2 linked regions of the Struthio camelus genome follow. The protein of the gene in region 1 interacts with the protein of each later gene in a pairwise test. Links are inferred from orthologs where the notes say so. Each region holds a gene or a part of one and is shown in the gene's direction. Other genes may lie near its edges. The genes, in order: NPAS2 and BMAL1.

Region 1 (7,441 bases):
GAGGTAAGGCTGCAGATGCTACATCTGTGTTCAGACTTCTCCCAGCCATTCTTAATTCAAAGACTGTGGCACTATAACCCTTTATTATCTTCTGTTTCATTGTGATTTCCAGAGAAAAATAGCAGATCCTTTTCTCTAGGGTTTGAAATTGAACTTCATTTTCTTGAACAGCTGTCAAAGCTAAACAAGCTCAATCAGCCTGATTTTGGAACTGAGTGTTTCTCGTAGGTACTGCCAGGCCATTATTCCGTATTAACCAGTGCAGTCCCTCTGAAACAGGACTTTGCCATGGGACGTATTCCCATCCTGGCGGGAGTGAGTGAAATGTCTCGTATGGGCCAAGAGGTCCACAGGAACAAAGGGCATTGTCAGCCGGAGAATGAGAGGATCATCTCATCTTTCACACACGAGGAACAATTATTTCCGCAGCCTTGAGCTTTGGCTCTCCGAGCTGCCACACACATGCAGTACGCTCCATGGCAATTGAATGCATACGTACAGCTCAGGCTCCAGGACTGCTTCACTTCACAGGAAGGCTGTAAATGCTCAGCCACCGGACTGTAGGGCCCTGGTAGGCTTTAAGGCTTTCTTCACCCCCAGCAACAATTCCAGATGTTCTAGACATGAAATCTATTCAATATTTAGTCGCTGATTTTTTCAGCCCATGCCTTCTTCCTTTCCCCGCTCCTTGCACTAACCACTTAAAGAAAACCTGCAAACCCTTGGTTGCATAAGATGGAAAAATCAAACCTTCAGGTAGGTTGCCTATTATACTATGTTCTTCTGTGAAAACCTTGGGAATGGATAAAATTTTGCTTGAAAAGGCTAAAGAAAGGTCAAATCAACAAATCGGTTCTTCTCTTTTAATAACTGTGCAGAAAAACAAGGAGTTCGGCTTGCTAGCTGAACAGAGCCTGAAGACCCATCAGACATCTTACTCTTGCAGCAGCACCACCACATTTGAAGTCCATTTCTCTCTGGCATCTCTCTGCCTTTCCTTGATTCAGAGGCTGTGCTGCTGGTTGATATGTACTATCTCTCCCTCCTTTGGGAAGTTATAAGCTGCAGATTGAAAAGTAGTGCTGATTCTCTAGAAAGTGTTCCTCTCTGCAGAAATTTCTGCCAAAATTGGTTACAGAAGTGTTTTGCACAAAGAAGTAGCTCCTCACATCTGTCCACCCACTCCCATGCTCACCTCCATGCTAGAAAGCAGTGTATTTCCCACTAGGAACTGCTTGTGCAACTGCTTCAATTAATAGAAGCCCCTAGATTTATTTGACCTGGGTTTATCCTTGTTGCTGCTTCTTTTGACATGGAAGGTAGGGAAGCAAGCAGCCTGAAGTCTGTCCTATCCTTTAATTAATACTAGGGTAATATTAAACAAGTTAATCCTTGTCCATCTTCTTCCTCCTTAATTGAAAACTTAAGAGAATATCTTTGTGCAAGCTGGTCTTCTCTTTGAGGGTCCTTTATTCTTTTTTATCATCCCCCTCGCCCCACAATGCCATGACTTTTGCGCCATTTTTGCTACTTATGCTACAGGATTATTATTTTGAGGGCCCCCTTTTACATATGCACAAGCACTAATCCAAATATAGGCTTTATATGTGAAATATTGGTTACAAATTGCCTTTCACCTCTCAGCAACACATACTTGGGTCCATTAAATGTTAAAAGCGTTCATATCGCATAGGTAATATCTCTGCTTGACTTCCAGGTTGTCAGCTGAGAAATGTTCACGGGGGTGAAGCTGAGGGTTACATCATGTGGCGGTGGTGGCACTGCACAGTTCACATCCCTGGCAGTGAGGGAAAGTAAGCTAGCAGAGTTAAAGACAGCATGTCCGGGCTGTGATCGCACCCGGTTCCACATCCCTCCCATGCACTCTCCACAATGGAGCAGTGAGGTCCCCGGGGCCGGGGGCTACCGTCATCTCCTGCTCTTCCCTTTGGCCCTCCACCCTGGGAGGCACCTACCTTGTGGTTCCCGGGCCATTGCAACCACTGATGTGTCATTGCTGGGCGGTGAAGGTTAGCCAGCCTATTCTAGTCAAAACAAAAGGGATTACTACATTGGATCATAGACTCCTGATGTCTGAAAAGTAGTTTACAGACATTTTGTGACTATAAAATGTTTTCAAGTTTTAAAATAAAACGTTGGGCTCTTTCCCTCAATTTCTTATATGCGGCATCTAGTCCTCTGGGTAATTTCCACACAAAATACAGCACTGACAGTATTTTGTTATTTCCCATCGGTAACTAGTCTAATAAAAATTATGTGTGTTTTGAATGGTTAGTGTTTCACAATGGAACTCAGGTATGTGCTGGGAAAACCCTGCCTTGCCCTCAGCCAAGCTGCTGATTGTTGCCCTAATTAAAGTTTACTGTGGTAACCTAGGGAATGAATTAATAAACAAACCTTAACCAATTTCACATTTTCACTTGTGCAATGAAGTCATTACGAATTTACAGGGAAAACGCTAAAGTAAGGCACAGGTATAATTTTGTATATGTGCTCCTATGTCTTGCAGATTGCCTTTCTCAGCATGGTATTTACCTTAAGGCACTTGTTTTTACAGTTTTTGAAAGTGCATAGCCGTTTGGGGGCAAGGTTTTGTTCTGTTTTCAGAAGGACTGGAATATCAAAGCAGGTGATATATAATCTTGGGAAGTTCCTCTTCTCTGACCTTACAAGGCTTGAAGATCTTACGCTATACTTCGTTGTGCAATACAAGAAAAATACCTCAGAAAGAGAAATGTCTTTTATTCCACTCTCCATGTATCTGATGGTTTATTCCCTCAGGCACTACTTGTTTGCCAAAGGATTGTTTAACCACTGTTTGACAATTTCCAAATGGGAAAAAATACTGGGTTTCATCCAAAGGAAGGGAGGAGCTTTCAAAGTTTTGTATTTAATCTTGGTTAAAAGTAAACAACGTTACCCTTTCAACATTAGTCATGCCTGTTGTATAAAGTACGGTGGTGTAAAAGTGCTCAGCTAAAAGAACGTAACATTTTTCCATACTTTGTAATCATTAACATTTGCGTTCAGGAATAAATCAAATCATATAACTAGCTAGATATGCCATCGGCGGGGGGGGGGGTGGGGTGGGGGACGCTGGGTGTCACCGCAGGATAACTGGGGTAGCTGCAAAGGCCATATAGCTGTGCAAAGCCGCGAGGCTCTTTTCTGGAGCCAGGTGGCTGGAGCAACCTTCAACCCACACACTGCGCCCACACAGGCAGACTTGGTGTGGGCAGAGAGGTCTCTGCTGGCTATTATTTTACATGGCTTAACGTGTCTCTGATAACGAGGCAGAACAGAGCAAAGGAGAAGGGAAACAGCTCCCACCACACCAACTCTGCTGCCACAGGTATAGCAGGACCTGCTGGTGGAGACACAGCTGGCACCAGCCTACGGGGCTTTTCCTCACTGCTCTCAACAACAGAAACGGCTACCCTAAAAAGCAAATACCTCGTGCTAGCAGGCCAACCCTTTGGCAGGTGCAAGAAGTACCTACTCCAGGCCTTTCTCCAGCAGAGCAATGGGTTTTTTTGGCCGTGCAGACACAGAGCAGAGCCGGGAGCCCCGGGTGTGGCGGGGGCTGCGGGGCAAGGGGTGAAGCCCGGGCTCCCTGCAGAGCCGGCCGTGGTGGCAGGGCTCCCGGCCCCGGCTCCTGCTGCTGTCGGCAGGTGCCGGAGCAGCGGGTCTCGGCACACACCAGGGAAATGAGGGGGGCAGTGCCGTGTCCCCACGCCGCTGCCACTGCTGCCCTCCTGTCCCGGGGGGCAGCCCCTCGGCCTTGCTCGCTGCCCCAGGCAGAAGACAGCAGGACTGACTGCCCAGCGGGGAGAAAGCGAGCCCCAAAATAAACGGCCCCTCCTAGGCTCCAGCATATTTCCTTATCTCACACTGGCTACGTTTCAGGAGGAGTATTAGGCAAAAATAATGCAAAGTGGGGAATAAAAAGAATGACCTACTTTGGGGGGAGAAAAAAAAAAAAAAAGCAGCTCTCTGTCAAGGTTTTGCTCTAATTGCCGGTACGGCGTTGCATAACCAAATCGGGAATTACTGCCCCGTGCCCGGCGAGGCGGAGAGCCTGCCCCGGGGCAGCGCCGTGCTGCGGGGCCCGGCCCGGCCCGGCTGGGCTCCCGCGGCCACCCACGGGCACGGAGCCGGGGCCGCCCCCCGGTCACCCCTCCGCCGGCCGGGGCTGCCTGCCCCTGCCCGGGGGCGAGCGGCTGGGGCGGGGGGAGTGGGTGTCCGCAGTCCGCCAGGCGAAGCCGTGCCAGCCGGGGCGGGCTGTGCCGAGCCGAGCCGAGCCGGGCCGGGCCGGGCCGGCAGCCCCGGGCAGCAGAGCACCTGGGCGCAGCCCTGCCCGGCGGGGACGGCGGCACCGTGGGCGGCTGGCGTGGAGGCGCCTCCTGGGGTCAGGCTATAGGGGCGGCCGCCGGTGACCGCCGGGTTATAGCTATAGACATACGTAAATGCAGGCACGCCGGGCTTTGCTCGAGGCGTTGCGAAACCATCCTTGATTTCGGGCTGGGTTTTTGGTTGATTTTTTTTTTTTTCCCCTGCTTCCCCTTTCGTTCTCTTTCCAGCTTCTCCTTTTCTTGGATCTTCGCCTGTCTCCTCCCACAGAACGAGAGAGAGAGAGAGAGAGAGAGAGAGAAAAAAAAAAGGTCACGTATGTTTGGAAAAATATGTAGGTCAGTGGAACATTCCCTGCACTTGTGCAAACGGAGACGGGGAGGGAGAGCTCCTCTGCAGCCCTTTCGCTACCCACCTCCCCAGCCCGTCCCTCCCCAAAGCCCGCCGCTCTCCAAAGAGGGGAGGGGGCACGCAATCCGCAGCTCCCCTTTTCCCCCCTCCCTGACCCATTTTGCACACAAGCGTCGGGTTTGGGCTCCCCCCCCCACCCCTTTCCTTCCCTGGTAGAGAGGAAGCCGGCGCGGGCGAGCACGGCCCTTGCGCGCCGCCGCCAGCCCCCGCGGCCGCGGCTCCCCATGGGCGCGGGGCGTGGGGCGCGCCCCCCCAGCGCCGCCGGCTGAGGGTGCGGGGCGGCAGCCCGCCGGCGACGACGACGACGACGACGAGGAGGAGGAGGAGGACGGCGATGAAGGACCCGCGGAGAGGATGCCCCCGCCTCGCCCGCGGGGCTCCAACTTTGCGGAGAACTATCGGCCCCGCAGTCCCCGCGCCCGCCCTGCCCCTCCCGGCCGCGCATTTAACTTAATGCACCAGCGGGAGCCCGAGCCAGCAGCCCCCCTGGTCCCCCCCGGCCTCCTCCCCCTCCTCCTCCTCCTCCTCCTCCCCCCCCCTCGGCAGCAGCCCGGGCTCCCGGCGGCCTCCCGCTGCCGGCGGAGCCCCTGGCCCCGGCGCGCGTGGGTCCCGCGGCGCCCGGGCAGGCGGCAGCGCGGCATGCGGCGGCCCCGCGCACCATGAGACACGGCACCGGCACCGGCGGCAGGCAGGCGGCGGCGGGCAGCGTCCCCGGCTCGTCGGCTGCGAGGAAGAGTTTGCCGGCTCCCGAGGCCGGCCTGCCGAGCGGCTGGAGCAGCAGCGGCGGCCGCTGCCGCAGCGGTACCGGCAGGCACCGGAAAAGCGGCGGCACCGGCGGCTCCCGCGCCCAGGTGGCCACCGCGGACAGCAGCAGCAGCGGCGGCGGCGGCGGCGGTTGGGGCTTCCCCGCCGCCCTCCCGCAGCCCCGGCACCCCAGGTAACGCGCGGCCCTGCCGCCGGCACCGACCCCCCCCCCCGCCGCGTCCACCCGCGGCGCCCACGCAGGACGCCCACGCGCCGCGCTCGCACCCCCCCCACCTCCCGCGCTCTTCCCGGGCTCCGTGAGTAAGGGCCGGCCCCGCGGCGCCCCTCTTCGCGGCAGGGTGGTTTGGGGTCGGCGCCGCTCCCCGCGCGGGGGGAGAGGGGGGAGCAGCGTGTCCGGCGGCGCGGGCGGCATCGCTTCCGCCGCGGGAAAGTTTCCGCGTGGCCCGCGCTGGGGGCAGCCGGTCCCTGCGGGGACGGGCCCATGCGGCCTGGCCCGGCCGCCAGCGAGACCTGGTGCAGAGCAGGCTTGGCCCATCAGTCTGAGCGAAATAAAATGCCCCCCGCCCCCATCTCGTTTTGGTGTAGTTTGCAATTTGCTGCCGCCATAGGCTCGTTCAGGCTAGACCGGCGCAGGGGCTGAGAAGGGACCTGGCACGGTTCAGGCGAGGAAAACTTCCAGTAAGAGCAATGGGATTTTTGCATGGGTGAAGGTTCGTGGTGGGGACCAGAGGTTGTGTCCTTTGCTGCAGGAGCCCTGCTGCTGAAACCGTGTGCCAGGCTCCTGCTTGCTTTCCTTTCGTGCGCAGAACTGGGGGGGGAGAAATGTTAAATACACGGCCGAGCGGCAACACGGCACGTCTTTCATGCGGAGTTGTGCGGTGAGGCTTTCCTGTATGGTCGCTAGTCTGATTTGGCAATTAGCAAGCACGCTCATCCGTAAACTTTACTGGGTACTCCTTAACTGTCTGCAGGATAGCAGTTTACTTTCACTCAAGTGACTCAGAAATAATTAGCGGTTATAAGCATTGCAGCCAGCAGAGGAACTTTAATCTTTTCATGGTGCTAAATCTCCAGAAGGGCTATGGGATTCCCCCGGAGGAGCATGGCTAACGTGAGCTTTCGGCGCACGCTCAACAAGTGGCTGGATCCTGAAGTGGAAAATTCTCTCGCTCTTACCCCTGCGTGAAATGTTAATTTGTACCCCACCGTGGTTGGAGTTTGTTTGGTGGTACTAAATAATCAGCGTTCACAGTTTCTGGACGGAGCCGGTTCATCCGCTGATCCGTATCTGGTTCTGAAAGCTGTCGGCTGGCTAAGGGCCCAATCCTGCCTACATTTCTGTAAATGAATATTGACACGGAGTTGCTCTGCAGGGATGGCCTGGAAACAGCAATCTTCAGAGAATGTAATTGCCAAGCTATACACCATCCCCATTGAGCATGTGTAATTAAGTTTTTTCAAAACCAGGTATCGGACGCCAGGGTGATTCCCCAAGCCAGCAGCATTTCTACAACCTACCGCAAACCATGCCGACAGTAGACTTGCCTAAAAGTACTTTTCCTCAAGAATAAAGGTGCTGCTCTGCATGTGTGCAAGGCTGAACCCACACACTGCACTTCACAGAATTATGTCTCATGCCCCATTTTCTAGGCCAGGGCATGCAAGAACACTTGAATTCATTTCACTTGGAGTAAGAATCATTATTTTATCATAGGTAGAAATGTTGCCCACAGTTAATCTTATCTGGTACTTCTCCAGTATAATGCTCTGGTTTCAGGTGCTTATGCATCTGCTAAGCTTAAAAGTAGGCTGACATTTTCTGGTTTGAGTATTTGCTGAAGTCAGAATCTCTTTGGGAAGTTTCAGATAAAATGGTTCAGCTATTTCTGAGATT
Region 2 (8,083 bases), on another chromosome or scaffold:
ACAGGCTGGATGAGAAACGAAAAGAGCTAGCTATAGATTTTCTTGATAGTAAGAAAGAAACAGATTACTCTGATTCAAGGATGCAGTGACAGCAGACCATACAAAGCTGTGACATCCCCTTCCCGAAAAAGACAGTAAGACTCCACACTGGATCTTTCTGTCCTCAATAAACGATGAAGTAATGTGGCCATCAATTTCAAGACAGTCAGATAGGTCAGATAGGACTAATTCTATTTTAACAAAATTGCTGATAGAAACTTTTTTGGAGGCAAAAATCTTACAGTAATTCACTTCAGGTTTTTCTATGATGCTTAAATATAAGAAAGGAATATGGTGTTGGATCAAGATCATTATAAGGATGGTTAAAGTTTTTTATGTATCAACAAAAATGGTAAATAAATCTTTAGTATATATTTTGATAAAATCTTAGAAAAAAAGAAAAATATTAAAGATAAGCCTCTGATGGAAATTTTTTCTTATTTAATTTAAGGTATTCTCTTCAATAAAATTTAAAACAGCTCTGCTTCAAGTTGAGATACTTCCAGTCTCTGAAAAAAACAGACCCTGATTTGGCCTTGAAATTAACTCCGTATCTTTGTAATGGAGCAAAAAAATTGAAATCAGTTTGACCTTTGTAAGTTTAAATCCAAATAAAGATACAAATGCTTTTTTATTGGGCCTTCCATAAACATCGAAAAAATATTGCAGAGAATTACTTACAATTTCTGGTCTTAATCTCATTTTCCTCATTAGATTCTTCTTCCTTTTCCTGTTACGTTGCCAGATACTGGATTGCCAACTCTTGAGAGTTCCTACTGAATCTCAGAATATTAATTGGTGTTCTTAAGAGACCACAGGGCTGAAATCAACAGATTGTGTAAGAATCTTCTTTCTCTTTTTTCTCAAATGAGCTTCTAGCTCCTGTAACTAAGACAAAGGTTTTAAAGATGAAAAATGGTTTTTAAAATCTCAGAAAGAAGCAAGCACATGAAAAAGTCTGTATTTGTTACTTTATATTTAGTGATTTTTAATGCTCAAATTTGGAAATATTGTGGCAGGAGTAAGTAAGCAGTTTTAAAGTGACAAGTGTTTATACAAACAAAAACAGGAAAAGCTTATACTTCCCGACCTTAGGTGTTGTAATATATTAAGAATTTGAAGAACCTTGAAAAGAATGATTAAGCTATTGCTCACTGAGACAAAACTTCTGTTTTAAAGAGGAAGTTTAAGCCAGCCACACATGAGTTGTGACAGACTATAATAAATAGACTATCCCTGTGAGTTTTTTGCAACCAGTTGCAAAATGATACTGAGCCATAGCACTCAGTTCTCACAACTGAGTTGAAGCACAGCATTACCTTTGTATGAGAAGGTGGGAAATGTGGCTCAGTATGTCTCTGGCTTCTTTTTAAGTATATACAGAACAAGAAATCCAAGTATCAAGTTATTAAGTCTTGCTAATTTTCTATGAGCTATAAATTCTCCTGCTGCTACTTAGATCATAGCCTGGATGTCACAGTAAATTTCCAAGAATCAAATAGAGGAAGAGACTGGACAGAAGGGTAAGACAGAAGAGTATAATAATAGGGTTATTATTTTAGGTCAAAAGATCTATAAACAAACAGCAGATGTTTAAAATGTTGTAAAGCAGCTACATCCACATTTATGTGCTAATATATATATATAATATGTCTTGGAAAACATTACAAAAATAAATATATAAAATGATATTTCCAAACTATCTTATACAAACTCATTCTCCAAAGACTCAGAGATTTGTCTCCCTCTGTATCTCCAATTGGGGTCATGAATCATGATTCAGAAAAAACACAACTAAAACTTCAAAGAAATAATTTGGCAGGTTACTTCTGAATTTCTGAACATCTGTTGTTGTTACACAGACATATTGGGCACTGTCTGAAGGTAAAGAAAAATGTTCTCAACTTTTGGGTAATGGTTTGAGAAATTAGACTTCTTTTTGTGTATGCAACAATAGTTGGATACAAAAATTAGATGAAAACTTGCAGATTCTAAAATGAAGCCACTGATATATTGCCTCATTATATCTAAAATAAGCTGTATTTCATGGAGATTATACTCCCTACTCTTCTTGATACAAAGTCAAAAATCTAGGAATAGGGAAGATTACTATAGCCTTCAAATGTGAAAACAATGAAGAAAATGAATAGGTGGGAACACAGGCTAGTAGTTTCAATAGTCTATTAATAAATGCAATTTTCGGTACAATCACCACACAGCAGACTCTCCTCCCATTTTTAAACTGTAATGTTAAGCCAGAAATTAGTCTAAATTCCAGTGTTTAAGTAGGGTGTAACCTACTTATGCATATCGTTAAAGAGGCAGTTAAATTTCTGCTTAAGGTCTAGTTTACTATCTTCTCTAAAATAGTGTAAAACCTGAAAATTAATCAGGTCAGAGTCAATCAGACAAATCAGAAGCACAGCGCCCTGAGCAGAACACACCACTGAGCAGGTCTTTCAAGCATGGTCCACATTTTGTGGTGTGATCTCACCTTCAAGTACTCCTTCAAGTACTCTCCATTAAGGAAAATGTACCTATCATAGATTTGCTCAAGCCTCATCTCCTGTTTACTTTTCGTGCTTATAAATGGGTAGTAGAAGGGTGAAGCAAACTTTTCTGCCAATAGTAGTGAACTCAGATCTCATCAAATGTCAAACTGTCATTTCTTAACTCTTCAGTGATAAACTTTGCATGCTTAACATTTTAAGCTGTAATAGTCATCTATAAAATGCTTTATTGACATACAGAGAGAAGTTCCCTGCATGGAACTTAAAGATATAATCTGTTAAAAAAGAAAGGTATAGAATATGAGTGAATATGAGTGGTAATATCATCATATGCTGAAAACAAGGATTTGATTCACCAGATGCTGTTACTTTCTTTAATATCTCATGAATAGAAAGTACAGTATATAAACAAATCAAAATAATCATTTACTGGGAAATTATGACATGCGGCCCACTAAGCTGCTTTCCTGCAGAAATAACTAAAGATCATTACTCTTGGCATCATTCCCTACAACAGTCACTGGGCTCATTAAAAGAGACAGTATGTGACTGAGTGTATAAGGAAGATTTTTTCTACAGGTGGGTAGAAACAATGATGAAAACTACAAAGGCTTGTGAGAAAGAAGTAGTCAAGGAGATTTCTCCACCTCCATAACTTCTGCGCACTAAAACAAATGGAAGCAATAACAGCAAAACAGTCCCCGAGAACTGATGCATTGTGTCCTTTTTTCACGGTACACATTTTCATTTGGTTAATATATGATATGCCATTTACCTTGCTCTTCTGGAAGGTTGTTCCTTGAGTAGGAATATCATGATGTGAATAGGAAGTTGGCATCCAACAGGGGCCACTTTTTGGCTGTGCTGAGTTCCAGGTCAATTAGGTGGAAACTAAACCTTAATGCTGTCATAGGTTGAGTTCACATTCTGTGACAGTGGATTAGAATAACCACAACTGCATTGTAATTAGATAATACCGCTACCCACACTTCTCTGGTGATGTGGTATTAGTAAATATAAACCAAACATTTGTGACACGTCATCCCAAGACAGGAAATGTCAATGTTAAGACAATGATAATGTGGCAATGACAATCTGACGTAGTAATAAAACAGTAACATTTGAACAACATTTGCATTTGATTGCAACTACGTTGTAACTTCGTTCTTGCAACACATCCCCTTAACATGCCAGCGTTGTCGCATGGATGATGGTTTTCCGACTCAATTATTAGAAGATATCTAAGTTCGCACTATAAAATGGTGTAGTGGACGGCTTTACCATGCTCTGCCACTGGCCTTTTTAAACACCGAAAAAAATTATTGCAGCTTACAGTGCATTAGAGAGTCACATTCTGAGATGACATAGCATTTATGGCAGTAAAACTGAGGGCAGCATCGTACATGTGCTTCTGTGACATTCTGAAGGGTGCAGTGAAGAAGGAGGTCTCATCAAATATGATGTGCACGTGATGCAATAGCAACTTATAGATGTCATATCATATACAAGAACATATACATACAATACAGCAACGTGAGGCAGATACAATGCTGCGGTTTGCTAAAGAAGGTGGACGTCATTGAGAACGACCTTGCAGTCTACGGATGCAGCCGAGGAGGCAGTAGGATAGAAGGAGCATAGCATGACAGGACAATCATGGTCAGGTCATGCTGAAAAACAGCGAGGGCAGGGAGTCCATGCTGGAAGAGTAATGAGGCACATGCCTGTCTGCCCCGAGCTGGGCAGCACTGCCTCTGGCCAGCTGTGAGAAGCCCCCAGCTCCGTGAGGCAACAAGGATGCTGGAGGTGGCCAGGCCTTAGCTGCCGCCACACAGGCCGGCATGGGCCCTCGCTTTGCCACGGCAGCGGATGCTGGGCCAGAAGGTGGGGAGGGCAGGCCTAGAACAGGCGGTCGCAAAGTGCAGCAAGGCCGAGTGACGTCACGGCAGGCCGCGGTGACCTTGATGCTTCAGAAGTGACGCCACGGCACGGGACGATGTCACACCAATGACGTAGAGCCACGGGTGAGTCACGGCGGCGGCAGTGAGGCTGCTGAAGGGAATAAGGACGAGCAGCTCGCAGCACAGCGCTCCGCCCGCCGCTGCGCGCACCACCAGGGAACACCACAGGAGAAGCAACCGCCAAAACCGCCACGCCGCGAGCGCCACATCCGGGTCCCCCGCGCAACCGCCCCCCCCCCCACCGCGCACGCGCCTCCCCCGCGGCTAGGAGGCGGGACTGAAGGTCCCAGCCGCCTTTCTGATTGGCTGGCTTCTCGGGGGCGCCCGGGGATTAGCTGCTGTTTAGGAGGGCGGGCGTTGCCTGCCCGCCTGGCCGGCCATTGGGCAGAGCCGCCGGAGAGCCGCTCGCCCGTTGGCGGACCGGCGCGTCCGGTCCGGGGCCGAAGGAGGGTGCCATTGGCTGGAAAGTAGGTTAGTGGTGCGACGTTGGGTGGCAAGCCAGGCGGAAAGTAGGTCAGGGACGGGGGCTGCCTGCGCCGCGCGCCGCCGAGGGACAGCGACCCTCTCCTCCCCCCGCCCCCTCGGCCGCGGGGGCGCGTGAGCCCGCGGTGAGCCGTTAGGCGGCCGGTGGGCGACCGTTTGGGGGGCGCGCGGGGGGGGGGGCGGGGGAGAGGGGCAGTCCGCGGCTCGCGCTGGCGAGGTGGCGGGGGTCGCCCCCTGGAGGGCGGGGTTGGCCGGTCCCTCCGCTGCCCCGCTGGAGCTGCCGCCTGCGGCAGGCCACGGGGGAGCTGCCCGCCTGCGCCGGGGGAGGCGGGGGCTGCGACTTCTCCGCGGGGAGGTGGCCGGGCCCGGGCGGCGGCGGCGCCCCTCGGAGCGAGGGGGGCGAATGCGGCGGCCGCGGCGCGGGCCGCCTCGGTGCGGCGGGAGCCGGAGAGGGCGGGGCGGGGCGGGACGGGACGGGCGGCAGCCGCCTCCGCCGTTTGCAGCCGGCCCCGGCCCCTAGGGCAGAGCCGGGGCCGTGGGGTCCTGGCGACGGCGCCTCCTTGGGAGTAAGGAAGGGGCAGGAACGGGGCTCCTGGAGCTCGGGGGTGGCAGCGCTAGCTCTGCTGCTTCCCATCTCGAGTTTGCCTCGTCTAAGGGTGAGTGTGTGGTGGCTGAGGTAAGTCACGGAGTAGCGAGAGGTTGGTGCTCCCTCCCCTGCAGCAGGGATGGGTCCCCTCGGCCTCTGTCCCGCAGGTGATCCCTTTGATCTTTGTCAATGAATCAGGTGCCCTGCGTTGAAGCCAGCTTTATGTGGGGCGCGAGGAGTGTATGTATTTAACACCTCAACGACGGTGGTAGTTGGAAATCTCGATAGACTGTGAGTCTCTGACACGGAGGCCAGTCCTACCTGCAGACAGCTAGAGCCACATGGAGAGCCGCTGTGGGATTTCTTGCTTTTACTAACAGTACAGCCCAGTTACCTCCTCTCCTTGTGAGATGAATGTTTTATGGTTAAGTTAGGGTCCTCAGGCTGTCCCGTCTGGTGCTGTTACTTCTCAGCCCTCTGTGTCTGACAGCCGTATGTGTATCTTTTGCTAAGAAGGAACGTTTTTCTTTGAAAGTGAAAGTAGAATACTGACAACAGTTAAAGTGGCTTCTTGCGATCAGGATTTCGTTTTTTTATTTTTGTGGAACAAATTGTGTTTTTCATGACTGAAGTTTCTGTTATTCCAATGCCTCAATTATACTAGCTTTATAAACCTCTTAGTACCTGAAAATAACGTTGTAGTATTTTTACAAGAAGCAAGTGGGTGTGTTTGCTTGTTTTTGAAGTAGATATACTATTAGCAGTTTTTAAGTAACTTGCTTAGTATCTGGGGTAGAAAAGGGCGACTGCAGATAGCTGTCATCTTTGTAAATGATTTTGAACTCCAGTTTCTTTGTAGAATTCATTCAGGCTTTAAATAAAAATTTCTTCCAAACGTTGGTCCTTAAACATTCAAAATGAAGCTACTTCTTAATTTGTTTTTGATAGGTTAGCATTAAAGTAGCCTATTCTGCCTGTTTACTATAGTTTGGTTTTTTTAATTGAAGAGGTCTTGTAAATGGGAGCAATTGATAATGCATAGACTGCAGCCAGGTCTGTAGGGGGAAAAAAGAAAGTTGTTTTGTTTGCTTCAATTGACTATTAGTACTGGCTAACTGTCTTTGTAAATAGTCTAGCAGAAGGCTGAGGTTAAACATTGCTCCCCGAAGAATGTGGATGTTTGGTATTTGCAAGGGTATGCAAATGTAAATCATTATTTGAAGCGTCAGAAGCTGTAGAGCTCTCATATGACTATTCTAAACCAGTATTTGCCTATTAAGAGGAAAGCTTTTCCATCTTCTAAGCTTTGTGGTTTTATACTTCTCATGACCATTCATGATTTTATGCCTACTTGTGGAAATGGACTGTAAAATAACCCAATAAAATGTTGTGGTTATAGATTAATATATTGTTTCATCCTGTATTCTTTTACACAGCCTATTTCCATTGTCTGTCCCCATCACAGTTTCAGAGGATGGTATCTAGTAAGCTCGAGGTCTGTGTTTTTCTTTTTTTTTTTTTTTTTTTTGTTTTCTTGAAAGAAAAGAACAGTACATCTAGAGATTACATGAACGAGAGGGGAACACCATAGAGAACCTAAGGATAACTGCTTTATTTTGTTCTTCCCTACAAGGGCCTTTGGGGGTGTCAGGAGATTAATTTAGATGTAGCTGGGATTCTGCAAAACCAGAGCTGAAGTTAGGGCCTGCCACCACCTGCTATTAAGATACCTGCTGTATTTGGGAACCTTTGCCAAGGCCAAGAAGGTGATATTTGTAGGGGCAGTTTGTTGGAGATATTTTTTTCTTACAGATACCTGTTTTTGAAGATTCTTTTGATGGCAGGAAACCAGGGACAAGCATGGAAAGAGTGGAGAGTATTATCTTTCTACAGTAAAGAGTAGGAACAAATGAATGTTCACAGGATTTTCGTGGTAGAGCTTAGTTCTACACAATGCCTTAATACTATGCAAGACTGATGGAGCTGAAACCTAATACGATAGCTGCAGCCTGTGTGCTGCAGACGAATGAGACAGTCTTTAAAAGTGAATTGCTATCAAGCACAATGAAAATAATGAGACACCTGTAGGTTAATCAGTTTATATGATTACAAAAGCACTGGTTTCATGCTCTATTTGAGCGTTTTAAGTTGTTTTCAATGTAGACCTAACTGTATATGATAATATTTTAATAGGAGGTATAGGAAAATCTGAAGGAATTCATTGTTATTGAGTAACCCAGGCTGAATTTGGCAGATTGGTTAGAGGTGGGTTTTTTGTTTTTGTTCTATAACTTCTCATTTTTAGCTTTTATCATCAGTTTTGCACTTAGTTCTGCCTTTGAACAAGGGCAGAAAAGTGGTAAAAAGCAGGTAGGTATGTCTCCAAGTATTAGAATGCTTAAAGTTCTTGGAAAAGTTATTTTTCTTCATTGGAAAATGCTTAATCACAAATAATGAATTACTACAAAGACAAGCCCAAAAGAAATCCAAGAATACTTAGGCTT

Evidence for each region.
Region 2: the proteins of NPAS2 (region 1) and BMAL1 interact in binary tests that used the Homo sapiens proteins (3 or more experiments, as listed by UniProt). The link is inferred for Struthio camelus from reciprocal best matches to the Homo sapiens genes NPAS2 and BMAL1.

The regions. Positions count from the first base shown.
Region 1 is NC_090942.1:152,094,574-152,102,014, forward strand, and holds the start of NPAS2 (neuronal PAS domain-containing protein 2), read left to right. Parts: upstream 1-4,305; 5' UTR 4,306-5,441; coding exon 5,442-5,719; intron 5,720-7,441. UniProt on the Homo sapiens protein: Transcriptional activator which forms a core component of the circadian clock.
Region 2 is NC_090946.1:25,520,482-25,528,564, forward strand, and holds the start of BMAL1 (basic helix-loop-helix ARNT-like protein 1), read left to right. Parts: upstream 1-4,881; 5' UTR 4,882-4,981; exon of another isoform or gene 4,982-5,118; intron 5,119-5,501; exon of another isoform or gene 5,502-5,649; intron 5,650-8,083. UniProt on the Homo sapiens protein: Transcriptional activator which forms a core component of the circadian clock.